Linked DNA regions of Kluyveromyces lactis. The protein of the gene in region 3 purifies or fractionates together with the protein of the main gene of each other region. This does not show direct contact. Links are inferred from orthologs where the notes say so. Each region holds a gene or a part of one and is shown on either strand. Other genes may lie near its edges.

The links.
Region 1: the proteins of PRP42 (region 3) and STO1 purify together in Saccharomyces cerevisiae (affinity purification with mass spectrometry; 4 studies listed by BioGRID). This does not show direct contact. The link is inferred for Kluyveromyces lactis from reciprocal best matches to the Saccharomyces cerevisiae genes PRP42 and STO1.
Region 2: the proteins of PRP42 (region 3) and MUD1 purify together in Saccharomyces cerevisiae (affinity purification with mass spectrometry; 6 studies listed by BioGRID, with this or other methods). This does not show direct contact. The link is inferred for Kluyveromyces lactis from reciprocal best matches to the Saccharomyces cerevisiae genes PRP42 and MUD1.
Region 4: the proteins of PRP42 (region 3) and PRP39 purify together in Saccharomyces cerevisiae (affinity purification with mass spectrometry, with the first as the bait; 3 studies listed by BioGRID). This does not show direct contact. The link is inferred for Kluyveromyces lactis from reciprocal best matches to the Saccharomyces cerevisiae genes PRP42 and PRP39.
Region 5: the proteins of PRP42 (region 3) and SNU71 purify together in Saccharomyces cerevisiae (affinity purification with mass spectrometry; 6 studies listed by BioGRID). This does not show direct contact. The link is inferred for Kluyveromyces lactis from reciprocal best matches to the Saccharomyces cerevisiae genes PRP42 and SNU71.
Region 6: the proteins of PRP42 (region 3) and SNP1 purify together in Saccharomyces cerevisiae (affinity purification with mass spectrometry; 4 studies listed by BioGRID). This does not show direct contact. The link is inferred for Kluyveromyces lactis from reciprocal best matches to the Saccharomyces cerevisiae genes PRP42 and SNP1.

Annotation. Positions count from the first base shown.
Region 1 is NC_006042.1:1,605,975-1,610,496, forward strand, and holds STO1 (Sto1p), read right to left. Parts: upstream 3,050-4,522; coding exon 482-3,049; downstream 1-481. Other genes in the region: DLT1 (Dlt1p), read left to right, coding at 1-250; KLLA0_F17545g (uncharacterized protein), read right to left, coding at 3,865-4,522. UniProt on the Saccharomyces cerevisiae protein: Component of the CBC complex, which binds co-transcriptionally to the 5'-cap of pre-mRNAs and is involved in maturation, export and degradation of nuclear mRNAs.
Region 2 is NC_006038.1:785,214-788,560, forward strand, and holds MUD1 (Mud1p), read right to left. Parts: upstream 1,827-3,347; coding exon 909-1,826; downstream 1-908. Other genes in the region: CBP6 (Cbp6p), read left to right, coding at 195-665; TEF2 (translation elongation factor EF-1 alpha), read right to left, coding at 2,284-3,347. UniProt on the Saccharomyces cerevisiae protein: Involved in nuclear mRNA splicing. The principal role of the U1A is to help fold or maintain U1 RNA in an active configuration. It is the first snRNP to interact with pre-mRNA.
Region 3 is NC_006039.1:1,319,288-1,323,044, reverse strand, and holds PRP42 (mRNA splicing protein PRP42), read right to left. Parts: upstream 2,352-3,757; coding exon 702-2,351; downstream 1-701. Other genes in the region: YCX1 (Ycx1p), read left to right, coding at 1-682; HEM3 (hydroxymethylbilane synthase), read right to left, coding at 2,836-3,757. UniProt on the Saccharomyces cerevisiae protein: Essential component of the U1 snRNP particle, which recognizes and binds the 5'-splice site of pre-mRNA. Together with other non-snRNP factors, U1 snRNP forms the spliceosomal commitment complex, that targets pre-mRNA to the splicing pathway.
Region 4 is NC_006037.1:712,446-716,686, forward strand, and holds PRP39 (Prp39p), read right to left. Parts: upstream 2,422-4,241; coding exon 574-2,421; downstream 1-573. Other genes in the region: UV-damaged DNA-binding protein RAD7, read left to right, coding at 1-513; BFA1 (Bfa1p), read left to right, coding at 2,902-4,241. UniProt on the Saccharomyces cerevisiae protein: Function prior to stable branch point recognition by the U1 snRNP particle to facilitate or stabilize the U1 snRNP/5'-splice site interaction. Has a direct role in the assembly or function of a catalytically active spliceosome.
Region 5 is NC_006039.1:1,599,267-1,603,264, forward strand, and holds SNU71 (Snu71p), read right to left. Parts: upstream 2,409-3,998; coding exon 702-2,408; downstream 1-701. Other genes in the region: MCY1 (putative cysteine synthase), read right to left, coding at 2,563-3,717; nicotinamide-nucleotide adenylyltransferase NMA2, read right to left, coding at 3,942-3,998. UniProt on the Saccharomyces cerevisiae protein: Component of the U1 snRNP particle, which recognizes and binds the 5'-splice site of pre-mRNA. Together with other non-snRNP factors, U1 snRNP forms the spliceosomal commitment complex, that targets pre-mRNA to the splicing pathway.
Region 6 is NC_006039.1:703,621-706,859, reverse strand, and holds SNP1 (U1 snRNP complex subunit SNP1), read left to right. Parts: upstream 1-1,755; coding exon 1,756-2,661; downstream 2,662-3,239. Other genes in the region: CCR4-NOT core ubiquitin-protein ligase subunit MOT2, read left to right, coding at 1-1,344. UniProt on the Saccharomyces cerevisiae protein: Involved in nuclear mRNA splicing.

The DNA.
Region 1 (4,522 bases), on a different chromosome or scaffold from region 3:
TACTGAAGATTATGACACTGATGCCAGATCTAGAACGGACTCCGAATTCTCAACTCCATATTTACGACCTTACCCGTCTGACGCCTTCATGCATAATACAACCCCTGCATCACATGTGGGCTCTCGCTCCAGTAACTTCAGTTACGATATAGATGAGTCTGCAGAACCACCAGAATCTGTGGAAGACCAACAAAGATATCATGACATGCTCACTAGAGTAGACACTTACAATACCGTCATACATAGATGATTAAAATACCGGACAGTTTCTGTAACTTATTAATTAAAGCTTTTGGACTTAATAATTATAAACAACAACGACTCTTATCTTATATAATACACAACGATGCAGAAAGGCATCAAAAAAGAGAACATGACTAGGAGGGTATCATTAGCAAACAACCCATCGTATCGAGAACTTTGATGTCAATTCGAAATCAATATACCTGGATATAAGCTGGCAAGTAGTTCTGGTTCACGCTCATAATTCTGAAACTTCCGAAATCCATCTGTTCAATTGTTGCTTGGTGGGTTCATGTGGCACGCCTTGTAATACATCATTGATGAACTTTTCCGTCAGAACGCTAAACTCATCCGAGTATTTTCTGAGCACACTCTTTAAGAAACCCATAATTGCTTCGTATTTCCACGCAAGGTCTAATGATGGTAACTCTTCGTCTGTTGCCTGAATGTCTTGATCAAGATCTGGAACAACAATTGGATCAATAGTGTTCAATTGCGACAATACCTCGTTAGCAGCACCCACCAACCTGTTGAAGACATACTCAAAAGAACCAACATCTTTGTCAGCAGCCATAGCCAGCTCATTCAAAATTCTGAAAATAGACTCAATAGAAGTAGAGTCGACGAGACTCATGTTTACTCCACACTGTTCGGTCAAAGAAAAGTTTAAAACTGATTCATTTGAAATTAGACCATTATATCTCAAAGAGTCCAAAATCAAGTAACCAGTTTGAGAGTTACTATTCCAGTATCTGACAACCGCCTCACAAATCCATTGATCTTTAATTTGCGGCGACACCTCTACCTGTGCCATAATTGCTTTCAACTCTTCTCTCGAATCATCAATATATTTGTTTGCATGGGAGAGAGATCTACTACCACAGAAAACAATGGTTTGAATCAGAAGAGTCACAGTAAATCTATTGAAATCTTCAATAATTGACCCATGGTTTACAGCAATGTCCTTGAGAATACCCTCCAACTCTGCAACAGATCTGGTGTCAGGTTGCTTGTGGAAGAAATCCAAAAGTTGAGTTACGTTTTCATGGAATGGGAAAGATGGAGATCTGAAATATAGCTCATTGTTACGAAGATCGCCTTCATCCAATTGGAAATCTTTGAAAAGAGAGGAGTAATAGTTAACAAGATCTTCTCTCTTGATGAAAGATGGATCCATGAATTTTTGGAATTCATCAGTAACACTTTCTTCAACATCAGCAGAATTGGACGTTAATCTTAATTCCTTTCTGATCAAATTCTTAATGAATATCATTCTTGGATTGTAAATAGTTCTATTCCACTGAATGGAATCAACTTCCCACTCATTCCATTTCCATGAGAAATTGAAGTTACTCATTTGAATTGAGAACCAATCTAGGAACCTAGCTTTTAACTCGAAGTCTAGTTTATCCAAATTGTTATAGAAATATCTGAAAGCTCTACCGAAAACAGGAGCAATAGCTTTTGGCGAGTTCTTGCAAATTTCTACCAAAAGAGAATAGAAATAGGCAAAAGATTGAGAAACAGTAGGTAATTTAAAAGTTAATTCTAAGATGGCACCAACGGCTAAATCTTCGATTTTGAAAGTACTTCTTGCTGGGTTTTCTTCAAATTGTTCCAAGAGTTGGGCGACAGGAAGGCCCGGTTCAGTGAAAATACCCGCAGTGAAGAAAAGATCAATCGTTACTAATTGTCTCGCAACTTCAAGTCTATTGAACTCCATACTTTCGATTATATCAAGAAGAATATCTTGAAATAACATACCTGTGAAGGTGGTAGTTGGTATCACGGTAGAAAATGGACCCACACTGTTCGGTAAGTAAACCTCGAATGAATATCTTGGAGTTTTCCATAGACTATCGACTGAACCGAAGCCTTTGTCTAAACCTGAAAATGGAATAATTTGTTCTAAAGTTGGTAGATTCAACGGCTCATTAAAAGAATGAATTGCTATTTGTTGGGTCAATAAGGTGTCATAATTCAGGAAAAGCTCGCCTAGTTGTTGCATATCGTTTGCCAATGCGTTCTTGACATTTGGCAAGACAGCAGTAACCCAATGAACTGGTTCATATGGTGGGTTCTTATTGTATGCTTTGAGCAATTGAATATCAGTATCTTTAATGTTATATTCGTTTTCGACAAAAGTGAGTAACTCCTCAACTAAAGTTTTTAACGATTCACGATTATCCGAGTTGAAGTAGAACAAATATGGAACGTTCAACAAGGTGTTGGTATAGATGGCTTCAGAAAGTGGGGATCTTTTCTCCGTGGAATTGTTTAAATCGACGGTAAACTGCAATAATTTCTTGTACAAGTCAAGCAAATCATCTGGTACCACCATTGGCGATAGAATGGAGATAAATCTGAGTACTAACTTAATTTTATCCCATGGTCCAATATCATGAGATTTGGTTTGGTAGTCGGGGTCATGACTTGAATTAAGTAACTCTTGAATTTGGTCAAAGAAATAATTCAAAATACTTTTACCAATTTCTGGTTTAGCTGAATTTAGCACCATGGTTAAAAGAGCAATACCTGGTTGCTTATGAGGTTGTTCCAAGATAACTGCTCTGAAAGTTTTCAAAAGTGCGTTGTTGAAATACTCGTCATTACCGAATTCATGAACAATGGCCTCACTTAGGAACTTGATATCTTCTGGAAAAGCCTTGGCCGATTCACCCATGGTCCTGATATCAGGCATCATGTCCTTACAAAGCATGACAACGGGTGGCAGCCTTTGCCTTTTGGCAAAATGTGGCCTCGCTTCACGATAACCACTCTCTTCTTCATAATCTACAAGAATCATTGTGTTTCAGAAACAGTTGTTAGTAATTATATGCTTTTCCTTGGAAAACGTTAATGTAAGTCTCAGATATATATCTGATACTATTGCTTTCTCTCTGAGTTCTAAACCAAAGTGTCAACCAACCGACTACTTTTAACGAAACTTCTTCGATATTATTCAGAGTAAATCATACCGAAAACTTGAAGTATTTATACCGATTGTCGATGGGATGTCTCTCTAGTCTAGATGTGTGTTTTGTGGCAATCTTGGAACCGTCTGTCATCTGTCTCTCTTTGCTGACGTCGCTGTCAGTTGTACTAAGGGAAAACTTAAATCTGATATAACAATACGTCAGAGATGGATAGAACCTTCAAAAAACAATGCAAAACTCTAACGTCTTGAATGGTGACATAAATTAAACATACCAAAACCTCTTTTTGACATCTCTCGGGTACTTGATGGCGTATTGTTGGATATAATACTGATATCAGTTGGCAAAATCTTGATTGTAACGTTATGAATTCGTGTTTTCATATATTTTAATTTTTTTTCAATTTTCATTTTGAATTCTTGTTATGGAGACGACCAGACAATCAATGCCATTCGATACTTAGGCCAACAGGTACATAGTTGAAATTGTTAAAGCTTACGAATGTCAGGGTTTCACAGCCTGTAGATTACCATAATTAGATAACAATGTGTTTTCAACGTTTTTTAACATATATATGTATATTTCCCAAATTATATAGGTATATGCTTGACTGGAAAAGAAATCGCAGAAATAACGAGACCTTCAAAATCGGAACGAACCATACATGGATTCTTTTCATTTTGCTTCAAGAATCATGTACTTGCTTCTGCAACTGTTCTATCAGTAGATCTTTGGACTGCAGTTGCGTCTTCAGCTCATTTATTTGAAGGGCGAGTTCGTTAGGAGATGGCTTTATACCATGTTGGTATAATAAATTCTGTTCTTCTGCAATGAAACGTTTGAGCCTTTCTTCGTTCAAATTTTGAATCAACTCAACAATCTTTGACGATTTTTTCCTTAATTCCGTTTCGAAATCCAGTAGAGAAAGAGCCTGAGGTGACTCTGGTTCCTTCGGATTCTTTGATTCTAATTCACTTTCTAATCTACCTTCCCTTGCGATAGACTCGGCTAATTCCGTGGAAACCAATTGTAGCTCTTGCATCAACATCATATTTTGTTTCAAAATATTCAAATACTCTTCAGTGATCAACAGGGGTTGTTTGGGATCCTTTTCAGAAGCAAAAGATGGCTTATATGGCAACGCGGAAATAGGTTCAGCCTTCTGTTTTACATATTCTTTCTCAAGACAAGGCACTTCCTGTATCTCTGTGCTTTCACCAATAATCATCGACTTACGAATTTGCAAAGTTGATCTGTCAAATGTCTTTTCCTTATTACTATATTGGTCGTGGTGATTACCAGCAGATGACGCGGAAAAAAGAGAATGATATGATATTCTACGT
Region 2 (3,347 bases), on a different chromosome or scaffold from region 3:
TGAGATCTTTCTTTTTTTTAATTTCATCCTCTGACTTAGAGCATCAAGAAAAAACGAAAATTTTGGATTGAATCGATATAATGACAAGAAAGTTGGTTTGCATATCTGACGGTAGATACGGTTGTGTCATGCCAGCAAAGACTCTATCTAAACTAGCGAGTTACAATCCATATTAGCACAGATACAAAACAAAGATGTCGCAAGCAACAAAAGAAAGTGCTAAGCAATTAGTGAAGCTGTTAGAGAAGTTCCCTAAGGAGCGTGTTAAGCATCTCATTTCATTCAAAGAGTCACAACTAGATAGGTTCCGTCCAGTTGCCGGAATAGAAACCGGTAGTGCCTCTGAGCAAAGTAAGCCTTCTCTTGCAGAGATTAAGGATATTATCAACAGAACTTCTGGCCCATTAGGTTTGAAGAAAGATCTATTAAAGAAAGTTCAAGAGGCTTTACCAGAAGAACATTTCAACGATACTCAAATCCAAGAACAGATAAGATCGTTGAATGCTATAATGAGCGATAAATATAAGAATTATTATGCTGTAGGGGACAAATTATACAAGCCAGCAGGTAACCCAATTTATTACAAAAGATTGCATGACGAAATCGAAGGTAAGGGTAAGGAAACTTTCTTTACAGCTATGAGAACTGTCGTATTTGGTAAGTAATTTCGGTTTCAGGGTTTTAGAGCTTCGTATGCATATATGTATATATCATTTCTGTCTTTTTCGTTTCTAGTGTATCTGTACTGTACAGGCCTCCATACACTGACTGTAAATAATTTATATTCAATCTATTCTATTTATTCTGTTTATCTGTTGCTGATAAATGTACTATTAAAGCGTAGATTGTTGGTTCCAGTTCCGACCTGTGAACGCTTTGAATTTATTGATTCGCATTGAAATGTAGAATCATTTCTTGGCGTATCCAATCTTTATCGTTACATTCTTGAATGGATGATCATGACCTAAGGTTTCAACAACTTTAGTGGCATTTGCTGTAGAATCATATTCAACAAAGCAAAGATTTCTGACACTGACCAATCTAACCTCTTTAAATCCATCTGAGACAAATAACTTTTCCAATTCTTGCTGAGTAACATCTTTTGGAAGATTTTGAACCAATAGGACATGGTGAGGGGGATTTCCGACAATGTCAAAGACTTTTTTAGTGGAGGAAACTTTCTCCGACTGCTGTGACATAGCAGTCTTGTTGGTACCTTCAGGATTTGTTTTTCTGGGCTTTGAAAGAAGCTTCTGTATGGTTTCTTCGTCCAAATCCTTCTTTCTAAGCTTACTTCTAGCTCTTCTTAACCTTCTTTTCAACACTTCGTTTTTTGTCTTGGTCTTGGGCTGTGAATTATCCACAGCTTTACGTGTACGTAACCGAAGTTCATCCTGTAGCTGTTTCTGTTGTCCCTGGTAGTACAAAGCTGCGAAAGAATCCGTATTCGCCAGCTTTATATTTATCTTTCTCCCATTAATCTTGAGCTTGCCTTGAAATTCTATAAGGAACGTATTACAACTGTCTGAGTCCTTAAAAGTGACGAAACAAGACCTCCTCAAGGGTCTTGAGCCATACCTTGATACCTCTATGATCTGATACTTTTCATCGAGTACTGGTGTAACCGCATCAGCCTCACTAGTTTCTTTCTTCGAGTTCAGATCGAATCTTGTACTAACATCATTTGAAATAGAACGATGATCTGAATTAACACTTGATAGTAGTAAGGCTCTGAATTTGGACAATGAGTCGGGCCTCGACGGTAGATTCGACAGATATAAGGTACTGACCATTGCTTGCCGATAGATACTAGCTTTGTATGGCATGTGTAATAACCTAATAGAGAAGGATATCACAACCTATTAACAAATAGTCCATACGTATTAGTATTAGTAAATTTGTTGACAATGAAAGTTGTTGTTACGTTAAGTTAAGATTATATGAATAACTAAATACTAAATAGAAATGTAAATACAGTGAGAACAAAACAAAAAAAAACGAACAGAGAAACTAAATCCACATTAATTGAGAGTTCTATCTATTAGAAAATGCAAACTCCAACTAAATGGGAAAACAGATAACCTCTTTTATTTTTTTTTAATGTTTGATATTCGAGTCTTTTTCTTTTGTTAGGTTTATATTCATCATTTCAATGAATAAAAGAAGCTTCTTATTTTGGTTGCAAAGAATGAAAAAAAAGGATTTTTTCATACTTCTAAAGCTTCAATTATAACCAAAAATTTTATAAATGAAGAGAAAAAATCTAGTAGTATCAAGTTAAACTTATTTCTTACCAGCCTTGACAGCGGCCTTGGTGACCTTACCGGCCTTGTCAGTCTTGTCAACGGACTTGATAACACCGACAGCGACGGTTTGTCTCATGTCTCTGACAGCGAATCTACCTAGAGGTGGGTAGTCAGAGAAGGCTTCAACACACATTGGCTTAGATGGAACGAACTTAACCAAAGCAGCATCACCGGACTTCAAGAACTTTGGAGAGTCTTCCAACTTCTTACCGGATCTTCTGTCGTTCTTTTCCAACAATTCGTCGAACTTACAAGCAATGTGAGCAGTGTGACAATCCAAAACTGGAGAGTAACCAGCAGAGATTTGACCTGGATGGTTCAAGACGATAACAGTGGCGTTGAAAGAAGCAGCAGCCTTTGGTGGATCGTTCTTGGAGTCACCACAGACGTTACCTCTTCTGATTTCCTTAACGGAAACGTTCTTGACGTTGAAACCGACGTTGTCACCTGGTAGACCTTCTTCCAATTGTTCGTGGTGCATTTCGACGGACTTAACTTCAGTAGTAACACCGGCTGGGGCGAAGGTAACAATCATACCTGGCTTGATAACACCGGTTTCGACTCTACCGACTGGCACAGTTCCGATACCACCAATCTTGTAGACATCTTGCAATGGCAATCTCAATGGCTTGTCAGTTGGTCTGGATGGTGGTTCGATAGCGTCAATAGCTTCCAACAAGGTCTTACCCTTGACGACACCGGACTTGGTTTCCTTTTCCCAACCCTTGTACCATGAAGCATTGGTGGTGGCTTCAATCATGTTGTCACCGTTCCAACCAGAGATTGGGACGAATGGAACAGTCTTTGGGTTGTAACCGACCTTCTTGATGAAGTTAGAGGTTTCCTTGACAATTTCTTGGAAACGAGATTCATCCCACTTAACGGAATCCATCTTGTTAACAGCAACAATCAATTGTCTAACACCCAAGGTGAAAGCCAACAAAGCGTGTTCTCTGGTTTGACCATCCTTGGAGATACCGGCTTCGAATTCACCGACACCACCAGCAATAATCAAGATAGCACAGTCAGCTTGAGAAGTAC
Region 3 (3,757 bases):
AATGTCAGGGAGTAACTTTTTCAAAGCTGCGTACTATTGTCAGTGTGCATTCTCCCCGTTCTTGACTCTTCTGTTGGTACAACGTGAATTTAACATTTGGTTATTTACTCTTGGCTTAATTGTATCCTGTATTTTACTTTTGATGTTCTTCAAATGGAAACTAACGGTCAAGGAAAAATATATCTCTTTATTTGGATTTGTTCTTTCAATTTCTTCCATATCATTTGTTGTTGGGTTGGTGCTTGACATTTTAACGAATTGGGCGGAGACGTTCAATCTCTCAGAAGCTATACTTGGTTTGACAGTTTTTGCGTGGGGAAATTCTATTGGTGATTTGGTCTCTAATGTCACATTCACCAGAATTGGAGTATTGGAGATTGCATTGGGTTCCTGTTTTGGTAGCCCTCTACTATATTTCCTATTTGGTGTTGGTGTAGATGGCATGCTCGTCCTTCTTCAGAGGGAATACCCTGAAGGTACAGCAATATGGAGTAGGCACATAGATTTCGATGTTAATCGTGGACTAGTCTTCAATTGTATCGGCATAGTCATAGCGTTTGGCATATTTATTTTTGTGGTCCCCCTAAATAATTGGAAGTTAGACAAGAGAGTTGGCTGTTTACTCTTATTCCTATATGGAATTATCACTACTATAAACGTCTATTTTGAATTGAATAAGTGAACTTGTAGACATAAACTAATTAAATAGGAACTTTCATCTGTCCCTGATTTGTGTAGGCTTCAGTAAAGAGTTCCATATCATCTGGCAAGTAGTTTGAAATAAACAATTCTACTTCAGACAAAACAGCCTTACCATACTTTGCAGCAGATGGAATGATATCATTTATAATATGCTTCCGCCTCTTTAAATAGGTGATATTATTATCGTACCATACTAGAGAACAATAAAGGTACCAGAACTTTGGATTTTCCAGGAACGATTTCCATTTGCTATTGATTATGTGTTGATAAACTTTAGTTTCAACTAAAGCACGCGGAAAACGCTCGTACATTTCATTTACCATGTTCAATAAAATGTATTGTCTGTTATGATCATCTTCTTTACTTGCCTTTTTCATCAATACATCCAGTAAATTGTCGGAGAATTCGATGTTGTTTGTTAAACCACTGAAGCGACTTTTTGAATTGGCAGAACTCAAGAACAAGTTGAATTGTATGTAGTCAATGAATATTTCGAAATCATCGGAAGTAGTTAGATCATTTGAGAATGCGAGTGAAATATCATCATATAATTGATGGAGTTCTGAAATCTGCCCTAATCTAATGAGAACCGAGGATAACATTGTGACAATCCTGGAACGCTTGTGAACGTAGGATAAAGCCTGTAACATCACGTTTTTGGCACCAATGAAATCGTTCAAATCATCAATTAAATAGTTGGCGTACTGCAACCATATATGGTCATAATGAGCTAAAGGGAGCACAGATCGCTGAAACTGAAGCTTGATTAGGTCTGAAATTTTCTTTTCCCTGATATATTCGAAATATTTCGTCCAGACGATGATTTCCTGGTGTGGAATAAGTTCTTCCGCAGACATGTAGTATCTTTTGGTGATCTTACTTTCAAACAATTCATATATCTCCATAACTTCATACTGTACGACAAGGAATAACTCTTTAGAAACTTTCTTCAAAGCTTTCTTGGCGACTTGCAAATGTGGGCCTCTGCGACCATTCAATTGTGTGTCTATCTTCAACTTTTTCCATAGCTCTTTATCTTCCGCATAGAACCTTAATTGTGAAAGATCTTTAACATCTTCAATGGTTTGTAGCCACAAATCATAAAAACTGGAATATTCATATAACGGTATTTCTATCACTTTTCTTAACGTTCGAATGTAATGTTGCGGTGTCTTGCATCGCAGTTTTATTTCGTTAAGATACATGTGCCAAAATTCAGCACCGAAGAAATGCAATCCAATGTAGGATTCCGCAAAGGCATATTTTTGGAAAAGTTGCTTATCACTGGGCATAATTTTATTGCAGATCTTCAAGTATTCTACCCATATTAACAATGACCTATTGTTGAAATACTGAAGAGCATTCTCGAATATAGCGTGAAACTTACCAAAATTCCCTAGTTTATACTCCAATAGTCCGTATTCGACATGATAATTCTCCAAAAAGGGGAACTGGTAGAGTAATGATTCATATGTCGATCGTACTAGCTGAAGAAGGTCTTTATTAATAGATTTTGAGATAGGTGATGCCTTCAGCAATAAATGATTCAAAAGATTCTCCCAATGGTGCAAACTTTTTGGATATTTGCATATTAAGAGACTGAATTCAGATAGCTTTTGATCACCTAATAGATTAAGATCATCTTCCATTTCCTTTTTCACAGTACTGGCAGAGCAACGATGATTTCAGTGCGTTTAGCTGCGTGCTCTACTTTGTTATGTTGGCTCATGAGTTAAACTACGTGTATATATTTCATGTTCTTGATAATGGTCATTTTTCTATTTTGCATCTATAAACAAAGAAATAATTGAACAGACCTACAACTGACATGGCAAAGAGATCTTTGTTCGGAACTCATTCCAATTCATTGCTTCATCGCAGTATATATATAGGTTTGTTTTATGCAAAAAGGGTCTTAATTAAGTGCATGTTTTTTCTATGATTAAACATTATTTGAATAAGTAAATATGCAAATTCATACATCAGGATAAAATTAAAAGCGTAAACGGAAACAAGAGAAGACATTAATAAGTGAATTATAAGGCAAGGGAAAAGGGTGTTTATATTGAATGCCGAGAGTTCATGCCCATTCAATTTTCTTCCACTCTCGTGTTTTAGAAGGAATGTTCGTCATTAAGTGATTTTGTCAAGATTGATAGAGTCTAAGATCTCTTTGGCACCATTTTGGGTTAGTTTAGCAGCAAGTTCTTTACCACAATTTATACTATCTTCCCTTTCGTTAGAAATGGTGACCTTATGTTCGATTTCTACCCATTCAGTACCTTCGACGTTGATAACAATACCTTTTAAGGTTAACACTTTTGTACTTTCGTCGTAGTTGGATACAACACCAATTGGAACTGAGCAACCACCTTCTAGAGTTCTGAGTAAAGAACGCTCGGCTAGACAGCAGATAGTCGTCGAAGGATCACAAATTTCTTTTAGAATTTTTTTCATCTTCTCGTCATCTTTTCTGATTTCAATACCAAGCGCACCTTGACCGACTGCGTAGCACATTGTGTCAGCATTAAAACGCTGGGTAATTCTAGAATCAAGTCCACTTCTCATTAGGCCGGCACTGGCCAAAACGATACATTTGTAAGGAGTCTCTGGATCATCTAATTTCGCCAGCCTGGTTTGAATATTACCTCTGATACTTTCGAATTTCAGGTTTGGAAATTTTCTCTTTAATTGAGCAGATCTTCTTACTGATGAAGTTCCGACCACCGAGCCGTCAGGCAACTCTGACAAGCTACTGTACGGAGAACCAATTGGCATGACTAGAGCATCTGTAGGATCTACACGTTTCGTGATACCGCCTAATTCGAATCCATCAGGTAGAAGAGTTGGCATATCTTTCAATGAATGAACAATCAGATCGATACGAGATTCATCATCTTTGTACAATAAATCTTCTAGTTCTTTCGTCCACACAGCCTTCCCACCAAAAGAATACAAGGGCTTAGACTGAACTTGGTCGCCAAGAGTGTGTACAGATAGAAGTGGACATTCGATATGGGAAAATTTCGACTCAATCATGACTTTGACTTGCTCA
Region 4 (4,241 bases), on a different chromosome or scaffold from region 3:
AACCTTAGGAAGTTGTCGCTCAATAGATGCACTGGCTTGACTGATAGCTGTATAATTAATGGATTTTTACCATTTTTGTCTAACTCAGGGCAATCAATCCTTACAGACTTGGAATTAGAAGAATTGGATCAGATAACCACCGACGGCATAGTTCTATTATTCTCTTCGTTGCAGTTCCCTTTGTTGAAAAGATGTAGCTTGAAAAGATGTTTTGCTTTGGAGGATGCAGCCGTAGTTGAATTATTACTTAACTCCTCTTCCACCTTAGAAGAGTTGAATCTAAATGGTCTGAAATCCCTAACATCCAAAACTTTCACCTTCATGGCATGTCCTAACCTCAAGCAGCTAAATATAGGGTTTGTCCACTGTGTGGATAATGAAATTGTGGAAAAGATATCCAAGGACAATGAAAAGCTCACTATTATTGAAGTTTATGGTGATAATCAAGTCACAGGCAAATGCTCTCCTCGGAATGGTGTAAGCATTATCGGAAGGCAAAGTGACAGTATATAAATGATTAAAAAAATTCTAGGATCATGAAAATGCTTGAGTGTGAGAATGCCCTTTCAGCTACTACTTTAAATAATCTATAGACATGTAATCATCAAATTTAGGTTTCTGATGGATCTTTTCTAAATTTCTAAAAGTAGGCAAAGGTGCTGGATTGAGCTGCTTCGATGCAAGCGTCTCTATTATAGTATTTTTAATTTGAGGCTTATCAATGAACAATCCAGGATGACCGTTCGATCTATACTTTTCTGATTTATACCAGTCCTTGGTTAGCTTGGCGTTCGGCCTCCATGTTGGGTTGTTGATTTTGAACCTATTGTGAACTATTGGGTCAAACCCAAAACGGGATTGCGATAAATTGGTTTCGTACTCGGAATAATCTGCATTGATTAGATAAAACCCTTGGAAATCTCGTACGATATCATTGATAACTTTTGTTGGTAATACGATCTCAGTGCCTAATTGATCGACAAACTTTGTTAATCTGGCGATATTTTTTTGAGTCTTTTCAAACTTGTAGTAAGTCAACCAAAATAAGACTGAAGTCTTGATCGGATCCAATTTGGCGAAGTATGTAAAGTGTTTCCTGCATTGAATGACGTTCTTCAATACCAGCCAATGCACTTTTATTAGTTCAACTACCAGTATCGGAAGAGTAGTGTCATTTAGCATGGCAAGCAACTGCTGGGAAATGTCGTGATTTTCCGTATCTGCATTCCCTGATAGGTACGCCTTGATAGTTTTATCCAAAAATGTAGCATATTTACTCTGTTGTTCCAAGATCTTTTTGTCTTCATCATTCAAAGATGCTGCAAAATATCTTCTCTTGTGAAACCTTAAATATTTAATAGTTGAACTTGGATCATGTGGCCATTTAAGCTGGAACGTGTATAGAGCGTCCATATAGTGTTTGGAAGATAATTTATTATATGGATCCATATTACTTTCCAAATATTTGATGTATTTTTGCTTGAAAGATTTATTATCAGCAGGAAGAGCCCGGAGTGCTCTTTCAAACAAGGGGAACGTACATTCGGGACCAAAAGTCCTTTCAGTCCAGTCAATATAGGCTCCCCAGAAATATTCGTATCTTAAACATGGAATCAAACATCTCTCAAACGTCGATTTTATTAATTCTGTACTGAACTCAGTGTTGTTGATTAAGAAAGATAGATAAGCATCCCAATTCTGAATCTCATTCTCGGGAAGCTCAGGGATATTGAAAAATGGCTGTTTTATTTGTGATTCATATGTCCATATTTTGTTCACCTTCTCCTGGTTAGAAATAAATGTGGTATCCAAATGGATGCTTGATTCCCTATTAGCAAACTCTGGGTGATATTCCAAGAATTCCTTAAAGCTGGTGTAGTATCTTGCATATTGATGCAAAGGTTGCTGCATGACTTGTTTGTACACCTCAAATACGTTTTCCCAGTTCTGTAGTCTTGTTTCATATGCAATGTGCTTATCCCAAATATCGTGCGAGAGGAAATGAGATCCCACGAGGGATTCGCATTTCCTGAACTGGTTTCGTATCAGTTCACTATCATTCTGATTATGTGTTAGATAAACGTTCAACATATCAATCCAAAGATCTATCGACGTAGGGAACGAATGTAAAGATGCCTTTAAAGTAGAAATAGACCCTTCTAATCCATCTAGCTGATATTTCACCGCAACGTATCGTTTCCAGTAACCAAAAAATAACGGATACCTTCCCAATAACTCATCAAAAACTTTATATATATTGCTCTTCACATGTTCATTGGGATTATTGTATTTCTGTACCAATGCTTCTGTACCAACCACCAGTTTGTCGATAGTAGTTATATCGTTCCAGTCAACAGAATTATAACTCTGCACCCATTCATCGTTATTCTTCAGAAAAGTTTGGTCTAATCCTTCAAACATTTCATAAAATCCCTAGTTTCCTTCTTAAATTTGATATGCAAACCCCTGCTGCCGACTTCACACTCAAAACGGCTCACGGATAGCAGCTAAAGGCTCTTGTTCTGTTTGGTGGCATCATGCATCTTTAACAGAGATTTATCTTAAAGAATTACAATAATACGGTTCTTTGCAATTTTGAATCATTTTGGAAGCATGAAAGAAAAACAAACAGAGATAAACGCGCCTAAATGAGTGTTTAAAAGGTAATTATTAACTTAGTCGAATTCTGGGAATCTCAGTGTTTTATAGGAGTGCTCGAAATGCAGAATTGGCGTCTCAACAGCGGTTTAAACAGCAATTAATATAGTATCACGTCTCACGAATATGATTATTTTGTTTAAGGTTAATAGATACATCAATGACGGAAGCATTAAAGGTATGTTCGAGATGTAAACAAAGGAATAAACAAGGGAAAAGACCAGGGACAATCTTCGATTATCGATGTCTATACGTCCAGTTGTACTGGATGATGTCGGAGAAACATCATTTGAAGATGTTGAAAGCACATTTACTTATAAAGATGATATAGAGGTACCGAGATTGGCACCTAATTCAGCTACATCCACAACTACGGAAAATACCACATTCTCTAAGGATAAGAGGTATTCATCACACACGGAACTGGCGAGCGATCTTGATGATGATATGAACTATAACAGTGATTTTGAAGAGTACCAAAATGGTACAGACCTACCTCTTGCTGTGGATAGACGATTTAGGGAAAGTTCGGATCAGGACGAGCTAGCTGATTTGCAAGAACAACTGGAGAAGAAGCTATCATTGAACCTGAGAAATTCTAAGACCGGTGGTGGTAGTGGTACTAGAAATGTGGATCAATATATAAACCATGCGGGACTAGTGCGGCCATCGTTGAAGGATTCGGTACGACAGCGTAGATCGATGGTCGATTTGGCAACCCGTAGTAAAGGTAATATTACAAGCTTGAATTCACAGCAATCGCGTCGAGTACCGAACAGCAGGTCTTATATGAACCTTAGACCCAGTTCTGGTCGAACTCTCAGTTATAAGTCATCTATGCCATCGTTAATGAGGTTCAACCGTCAAGATGTGTTACTTGAGGACGAAGATGACGAAGATGACGATGAAGATGAAGATGATGAACCCTATCCATATGTGCCCAGAGTTAGAAGGAGTTACAGGGATCTTGGACCAAGGTTTGGTGAAAGAACTGATGACGGTAACGTTGTCCAAGACATTGCTGTTGAGGCTACAGAAATGGCTAATAATGGAGACGACGATGACGATAATTTCGGTAATGATTTTGAAGGAATTGACGATAACTTCCAGTTCGCTACTAATAACAACAATAACTTTTCAGCATTTGATCCAACATTACGTTTATCACCCTCAGAGTATGATATCGAACATGATGACACTTTATTAACACCACAGCTGCATAAGAAGCATTATGCGTTCGACGCTCCGTTGGATTCGTATAGGGAAGCTCGTCAACAACGGGGTACGGCAAAACAGGCCGCTGCTGCTGCTGCTGTTAACAGACGTAATTCTACAAGAGCTCGTGCTCGTTTAAAGACAATAAGACAAGAAATTGATCTCAACACGCCGTTGAAAAGAGGTAAGATGAAATACAACCCAAGGGAGAAACGATGGGATGGTAATGAGGATATTTTAAGCAGTTTCGATAACATTGAAAATGTCGATCGGAAAGCGTTTATCATCAAGAACAAAAGGTCAAAGTCTCCGTTGAAGACTTCGTCCTCTACTCAAATAGCGGCATCAGGGACGAATGCGGCCTCCTC
Region 5 (3,998 bases), about 280 kb from region 3:
TGTCACGTTCAAAGTATAAGCTCACTAAACAAACGATGGCAGTTTCCTAAAGACTGAGGATTGGAAGGTAATTTGGATCAGTAGGTCAGTTCTGATAATCTTTCTTTATTAAAAACCTCTAATAGATCCTTCTTATCAAATGTATAAAAAACTTATAAGTAATTTGAGATGAATCAATAAATGAATGAATGGAGGAACACAAAGAAAAGAAAGATGTATACACCAAAATATTACCACTGGTAACGTTCTTTGTTGAAAAGTTTGACCCTGACGATAAATCTCGAATCTAAAAACTTATTATCTTTTGCCTAAAGCAACCCGAACGAAAACAGAAACTAAATTCCACCATTATCAGGTGTGTACATAAGTTACAAGTAATAGAATCTCTATGTTTGTTCCTTTGTTTATCTCATCCTGCCAATTCTTCCTGTAACCGTTCTGGATCTGGTAAAAAATTGGTGAAGTTGAGAATGTATCGCTATATACGATATACAAAACGCGAATCAATATGAAACACGATTACCCGGACCTCTAGTAACCTCATGTTACCGCCCGATCTGGCTGGAACACTCGAATCGGGCGAAAAAATTTCGTGACAGTCACGTGAGACGTAACCGGGTAATAGAATCTCATTATTAGACATGTGACACACATACCTACATATACATATATATGTATATTCACATGTATGGTATATTCCACTACTGTTCCATCGCTTCCCATATACGGCTCACTAGGACAGGGCTATCTTCGTCGAACGTCTCTGTAAGCTCAGTCTCGAGTGCCTGTTTCGATTGATGTTCTTCGATGTTTTCAAAGATATATGAGACTAAGTCGGGCTCGTAAACTCCCAAGTATTCTTTGACGAGTTCTTCCACTACGCCGCTTTCCCTTAGTAGATTCAACTTCTGTTGGAACGCATCGGTTTCAGGAGTCTCTTCCTCTTCTATCTCATTCTTTGTCTTTCCAATGGATTTCTTTAGTGCTAATTTAATCTTTGGTGCAGCCGTTGTCGCATCTGCGTCCGATACCAATTTTGTCTCTGTCTCTGTCTCTGGCTCTAGCTCTAGCTCTAGTTCTGTCTCTGGCTCTGTTTCTGTTGCTTTTTTCTTTGGTACTTCTTCAGATTCCCGTTTACGGTCCTCTTCATCTGCCTTGGATTCAGATTCCTTGTATGGCCTGTGATGGTCGTGGTAAGGATCCATGGCAAGATGTAATAACTCTTTTAACATAGGACCTTTGTTCTTTTGTAAATGCGTTTCGTAGTTTTGTAACCTTTGGTATTCTTGTCGTAGCGATGAGTATTGGACCAGTAACGAATCTTGGAAACTATGAACCATGGATTCATACTGGGCTTCTTGCGCATCTCTTTCCGCTTGAACTCTTTTTTTTTCCGCTTCGTAATCGTCCGCATCTTCATCATCGTAACCCTCAACCTCGTCGTCTGAATCTTCAGAGTCACTTTCAGCTTCAGGGGCTGAACCTTTTTCCGAGCCTCCATTAGTAACCTTGATACGGTCAAATATATGCTTCAAGTTTTGTTTCCTCCGTTTTTCTTCCTCCGCTAGCTCTTTATTCCGTTTCTCTTTCTCTAACGTAATGACACGAGTTCTAAACTCAACAATATCCTTACACAATTGGTCTAATGAGGAACTCGGAAGGTCACTCAACGTACTTATATCCACGTTATACTCAACGGCACTATTTCCAGCCAACCCTTTCTCCTGAGATATAGAGCCTGGTTCAGATCTCAACATTGTAATTAATGCGGAGAACTCATCTTTTGCAGTTTCATCGAGTTCCTTAGCAGGAGAACCTTCCGTCAGATCGCAAACGAACCGTCTAGTGTTTTCATCCATGTGAAGTCCGATCCCATCTGACCCGTTGTCAAACAATTTCTCAAGTAACTGTATCGCTTTCCCATATTCTTCCACTATACTTTCCTGGAAACTTATATATACCGTCAACGTATTCACACAATCGACGTAACTCCATTGTTTGATAAATTTGGTCTCATTATCTTCAACTTGCAGCTTTTTCCGTATTAGATTGTCTAGTCTGTCCATAACTTTATCAATACCCTTGGATCCAAGTCCCAGTGGAAAATGTGCTAAACAAACGGTATGCAACTGTTGTTCTAACGAAATTGGTAAAAAGGACTTCAAATCAACATAGCGTGAAGTTGAAGTCTTGAATTCATCAGAATTGTCCGTTTCATTAGTCTTCGAGGCTACTGAATTCCCTTTATCATGGTCTCTATGGCTGTTGGCTTGTTTCAACGACTGTTCAAATTTGGGGATATCACTCTTCAAAATCGGCACATATCCTGGCTTCGGCACCTGTGATTGCCAGTTCTTCGTGTCTCCACAGCAGTATAATGTGGGCGACACAAACAATACAGTATCCATTAGTGAGTTAAACACGTTCGGCCTAGTAGTATCAGCGTTTATTTGCTAACTCATCGCTGAAACTTTACGTCTACTCTCTCGATATATATATTTCAAGATTTTTCCAATTAATTGATATTTACAAAAGACCAAAGTTAAACACACTGTACGTTATTTATATGATATCTGAAATTGAAAGATCGTTACTCACCTGCAGGGCCTCTTTCCAGAACTTGCTTAAATGTCTAGAGCCACTGTCACATGCAATGATGCAAACATTTGAACCCTTCGGTAAGTTTTCCGCATATTTCAGCACTGCGACTGCATTGATTGCAGTACTGGCACCAACGAATAATCCGTCATTTACACATAAGAATTTGGCCATCTTAATAGCTTCCTCGTCTGTAATTCTGATGGAATCATCTATATAATTTTCCGCTTTCAGAAAGTTGTTTGTAATTCTGTTAAGACCAATTCCTTCCACTAATGTGTCCACTTGATGTCTTCTTCTTGTTCCTTCTTTCTCTACGTTATCGTACATGACACCGTATTTGATTCTATTGTAGAAACCCGAGCCTTGCGGATCAGCCAACACAATATGTACTTTGTCACCTCTTTTCTCCTTTAGATAACGAGAAACACCGGCCATGGTACCACCAGTACCGCATCCCGTGATGAATGCATCCACTTCCCCATTTAATTGTAGATAAATTTCAGGTCCTGTCGTTTCGTAATGGCATTTCCAATTGGCCTCGTTCTCGAATTGATCTGCAAATACACCAACACCCTCAGTGTACTCTTCTGAACACGACTTAGCTGCATTTACGTATTGGTTCGGATCCACTATACTAGCAGGTTTTACCTTGTTCACTATTGCACCAAGTGCAGTTAAAAGAGAAAGTTTCTCTTGGCTTGTATCGTCCGGTAGCGAGATATGGCATGAGTAACCCAACGCGTTACAACATATTGCAAGGGATATACCTGTAGATCCGCTTGTTCCTTCAAAGATTCTATTTTTCTTATCACTTGAACCCTTAATACCTTCCTGCGATGAGATGGTTTTGATAATATTCAAGGCAACTCTGTCCTTTGCGCTACCACCTGGATTATTTAACTCCATTTTGGCAAAAACGTTCAAACCAGTATAATCGGAAAGAGATTTAATTCTTACCATTGGTGTATTTCCTATCAAGTCTTCCACTCCATCCTTTGGTGGTGATAGAGCAGTTAATGTAGTTGTCTTAACCTTATATGCATAGTATAACGATGCAACAGCCACGAAAAGGGATGTTACACAGGCATAATCCTTCCATCTGTCTGCAGCAGTCATCGTTACGGAGCTAGATCAAAGGATAACAGCATGCGCAACTTTCGCTAGACGACAAATACTATTGTTGATTAAGAACTTCTATTATAAAAAGGATTTCAACTAACTAAAAACTGTTACAATTTGTGTGTATATTATCTTCGAGTTAAAGACATCACGTGAGTCTGACCAGGGAGGAGTCTAGAAAGGAGAAGGAGAATATGTGATTAGAACAATTAGTGTCACACTCAATCCTTGTTACCGATAACTTGTTTCACTGGTTCAGTTTGGTTTACGTACAAGCC
Region 6 (3,239 bases), about 620 kb from region 3:
CATAATAGGAAACAGCTTGCTGGTATGAGGGTCATTCAGAAGAATTTGGTTTACGTTATTGGGTTGAATCCACCTTACCCTTACGAAGAACTTCCATCCATCTTGAGATCGGACAAGTATTTTGGCCAGTATGGAAAAATTAACAAGATCGTCATCAATAAGAAGACTGGACACGAGCACCATTCTGTTTCAAATTCATCGAGTCATATAAATTCAGGTTACGGTATTTACGTTACTTTTTCCAGAAAAGACGATGCAGCAAAATGTATTCAAGCCATAGATGGTATCTATATTGATGGACATCAAGTGAAAGCAGCATATGGTACAACAAAGTACTGCTCCTCGTATTTGAGGGGACAACCATGTCCAAATCCGAACTGTATGTTTTTACATGAACCAGGGGAAGAAGCGGATGCTTTCAACAATGCCAGGAAGGAACATGCCCATCACTCACATGCACCACCTACACTTGCTAAACCGTCTACAAGTGCAAGCTCTACGCCAAAGCTTGCTCATGCTTCATTGAGAACAGATGACTCTACTGTGCCAGCAGCTGCAACTTCAAGCTCGAAGCAAACCGCTCCTGTGCTAACACCAGCTCCAGTTCCATCTGGTTCAAACCCATGGGGTATATCTCAAGCACCCACACCAGTTTCTACTATTTTCAACAAGACTTCTACTTCTACCACTTTCCCTACGTTGTCAAGCTCCTTGGGGGAAACTCTGAACAGTCCAGGTCCAGGCACTCCTACGACCACTGGATCTGCCCCAACAGCAAACTCTTCTTCTAACGTAAGTTCGAAGAAGAAGGGCGAAAAGACATACGAGGATCCTTACGATCCAATGGCAACATGTGTTAAGTTCCTAGATCAAACTTTTAAGTTTTTATCAGATATTCCTGAAAGAAGCTACACATTCAACTCCAACTTATTGGATGACGAAACATATCAAAGTTACCCATCACTTTTTTCATTTGAGAAGATTGGATGTAGTGAGCAATCTGAAGGTGTCTTGGGTGCCAAACTATGTGATTTGCTTACTATAAAACCTGTGGACCACATGTCCTCTCTTCTGCCATTCATTCAAAACAAGGCTACACCTACCATGTTACCACCGGGAATTGCTGTCCAGCAACCACAATTAGTACAACAGCAGAAGCAGCAGCTACAGCAACAGCAATTACAGCAACAGCAACAACAGCTTTCACTGCAAATGCAACTACAAGCCCAACAAGGCATGGCGCAGCAAGGCATGGCGCAGCAAGTTATGAGCCAGCCACAAAGCAATTCTTCCGATCTACTAAATCAATTAATTCACGGTAAGAAACAGACTGCTGCCGTATAATCAGTACTCAGTATGATTCCAATAATATTTCTTTTACGAAGTTAGCATATAAATAAATATATATATTCATGTACATTCATTTATTTTTCAATATAAACCGTTCCAGGTTGTTAGATAAACAACTGTTTCAATTTCATTTTTCCAAATCAGACCTTGTAATCTACTGTCTTTCTGGGTTCTTCTTTCTGTCAAAGGCATTCACATTAAAATACATATTTTGACACACTCTTTTTAAGGTTTTTCCATCAATTATGTGAAAATTGTAACATTTAACATCTAAATAGTAAAGATGCGCCAAAAATATGGAATATAATTACATACACTTTACCTCAGCGCATACACCTTAACCTCGATACTGCGGTAAGCGCATCAATAAAGATAATATTGGCACATATCCATTCCAATTAATAGATGAAACCACAAACGAGGAAATACAACAGGCATAATGGCTTTCACACTTTGACCAAACTTCCGTCTTCAGTATCAAAGTTATTTACACAAGGTCCACCATTACCACCATCGAGAGTGAGAGTAAGGCGAAACCAGAACAAGAAATATGCACTCACTGGTGTATCAGCCGTGTTGCAACATGTTTCAGAGTATAAGAAGGCAACCCATCCCGTATCAGAGAACCAACACTTGAAAGTATATGATGAAGCCATGAACGAATCGCACAAAGAACAGGAGGAGTTGATGAAGAAAATACAAGAGTGGCACCCTGAATCAGATGCAAACATTTCTAGTGACCCCTACCGCACATTATTTGTCGGACGGTTACACTATGCCGTAGACGAAGTTGAACTACAGAAGAGTTTCGTCAAATACGGCGACATTGAATCGTGCAGAATAGTAAGAGACCAAGACGGTAAGAGCCGAGGATACGGTTTTGTGCAGTTTACCAGTTATGAAGACTCCAAACAGTGTTTCAGAGAGCTTGGTGTAAGGAAGGGAATAGAAATCATGGGCCGAACATCCATCGTTGATATAGAAAGAGGCAGAACGGTGAAATTCTTCAAACCTCGACGTCTAGGTGGAGGATTAGGAGGACGAGGTTACCAAAGGAAAGATCTCGTAAATAAATTAACTGGTGCTTCAACAAGACCGATGCATGAACATGCTAGAAGACCCATCAGAAGACACGATACCTTCGAAAGAAGAGGTCCTCCACAAGGGCATTCCCATTCTTATCAACCAACTAGTCCAATATCCTCACCTGCATCAAATTTCCAAAAAACTGCAAGTTCTAGCTACCGATCAAGGAGGGACAGATCTCGCAATGATACTTCCAATGGTTCTACAGACACATTGATGTATTGAGATGAGATAAAAAGACACATCAAATAGCACGTGATCAGAACTGCTGCAGTGATCTATATACATTTTCATATATATTCATATAAGTAGCCATACAGATGAGCCATGGCTAAATGTTATATGTACTTCCTACCATTTCTACCTCTGTTCTCATATCTACGCAGTTCTCCTACATTGTGCCCACTGGCCAAGCATAACTGAACCACTACCTCTGTATGCATGAGTAATTTCTTGATCGATGACTGATTCCAAAATAACGATGGAAAAAATTATTCCAGTCAAACAAAAAAAAAAAAAAAAATGGCAACTCAGCGAATCGCACATATAAAGAAAACCGTTTTCAGTTTCCCATTCGCTAAGTATTTCCATTAGGTATCTAAAGTATGAGTTAACTCGTAAAGTACTGAACAGCATTATTGTCTAATCGAAGTTAAGACCAGCTCTATCCATCTGCAGGACAAATTAAAGGGTTTGCAGGAAAGTGTTGATACCTGCCTTTTCAGTGATAGTGAGCCAAGCCAACTGTTTTATCTTCTTTAAAGGATTTTGATTAGATAAAGAAGAAGAAGAAGAAGAAGAAG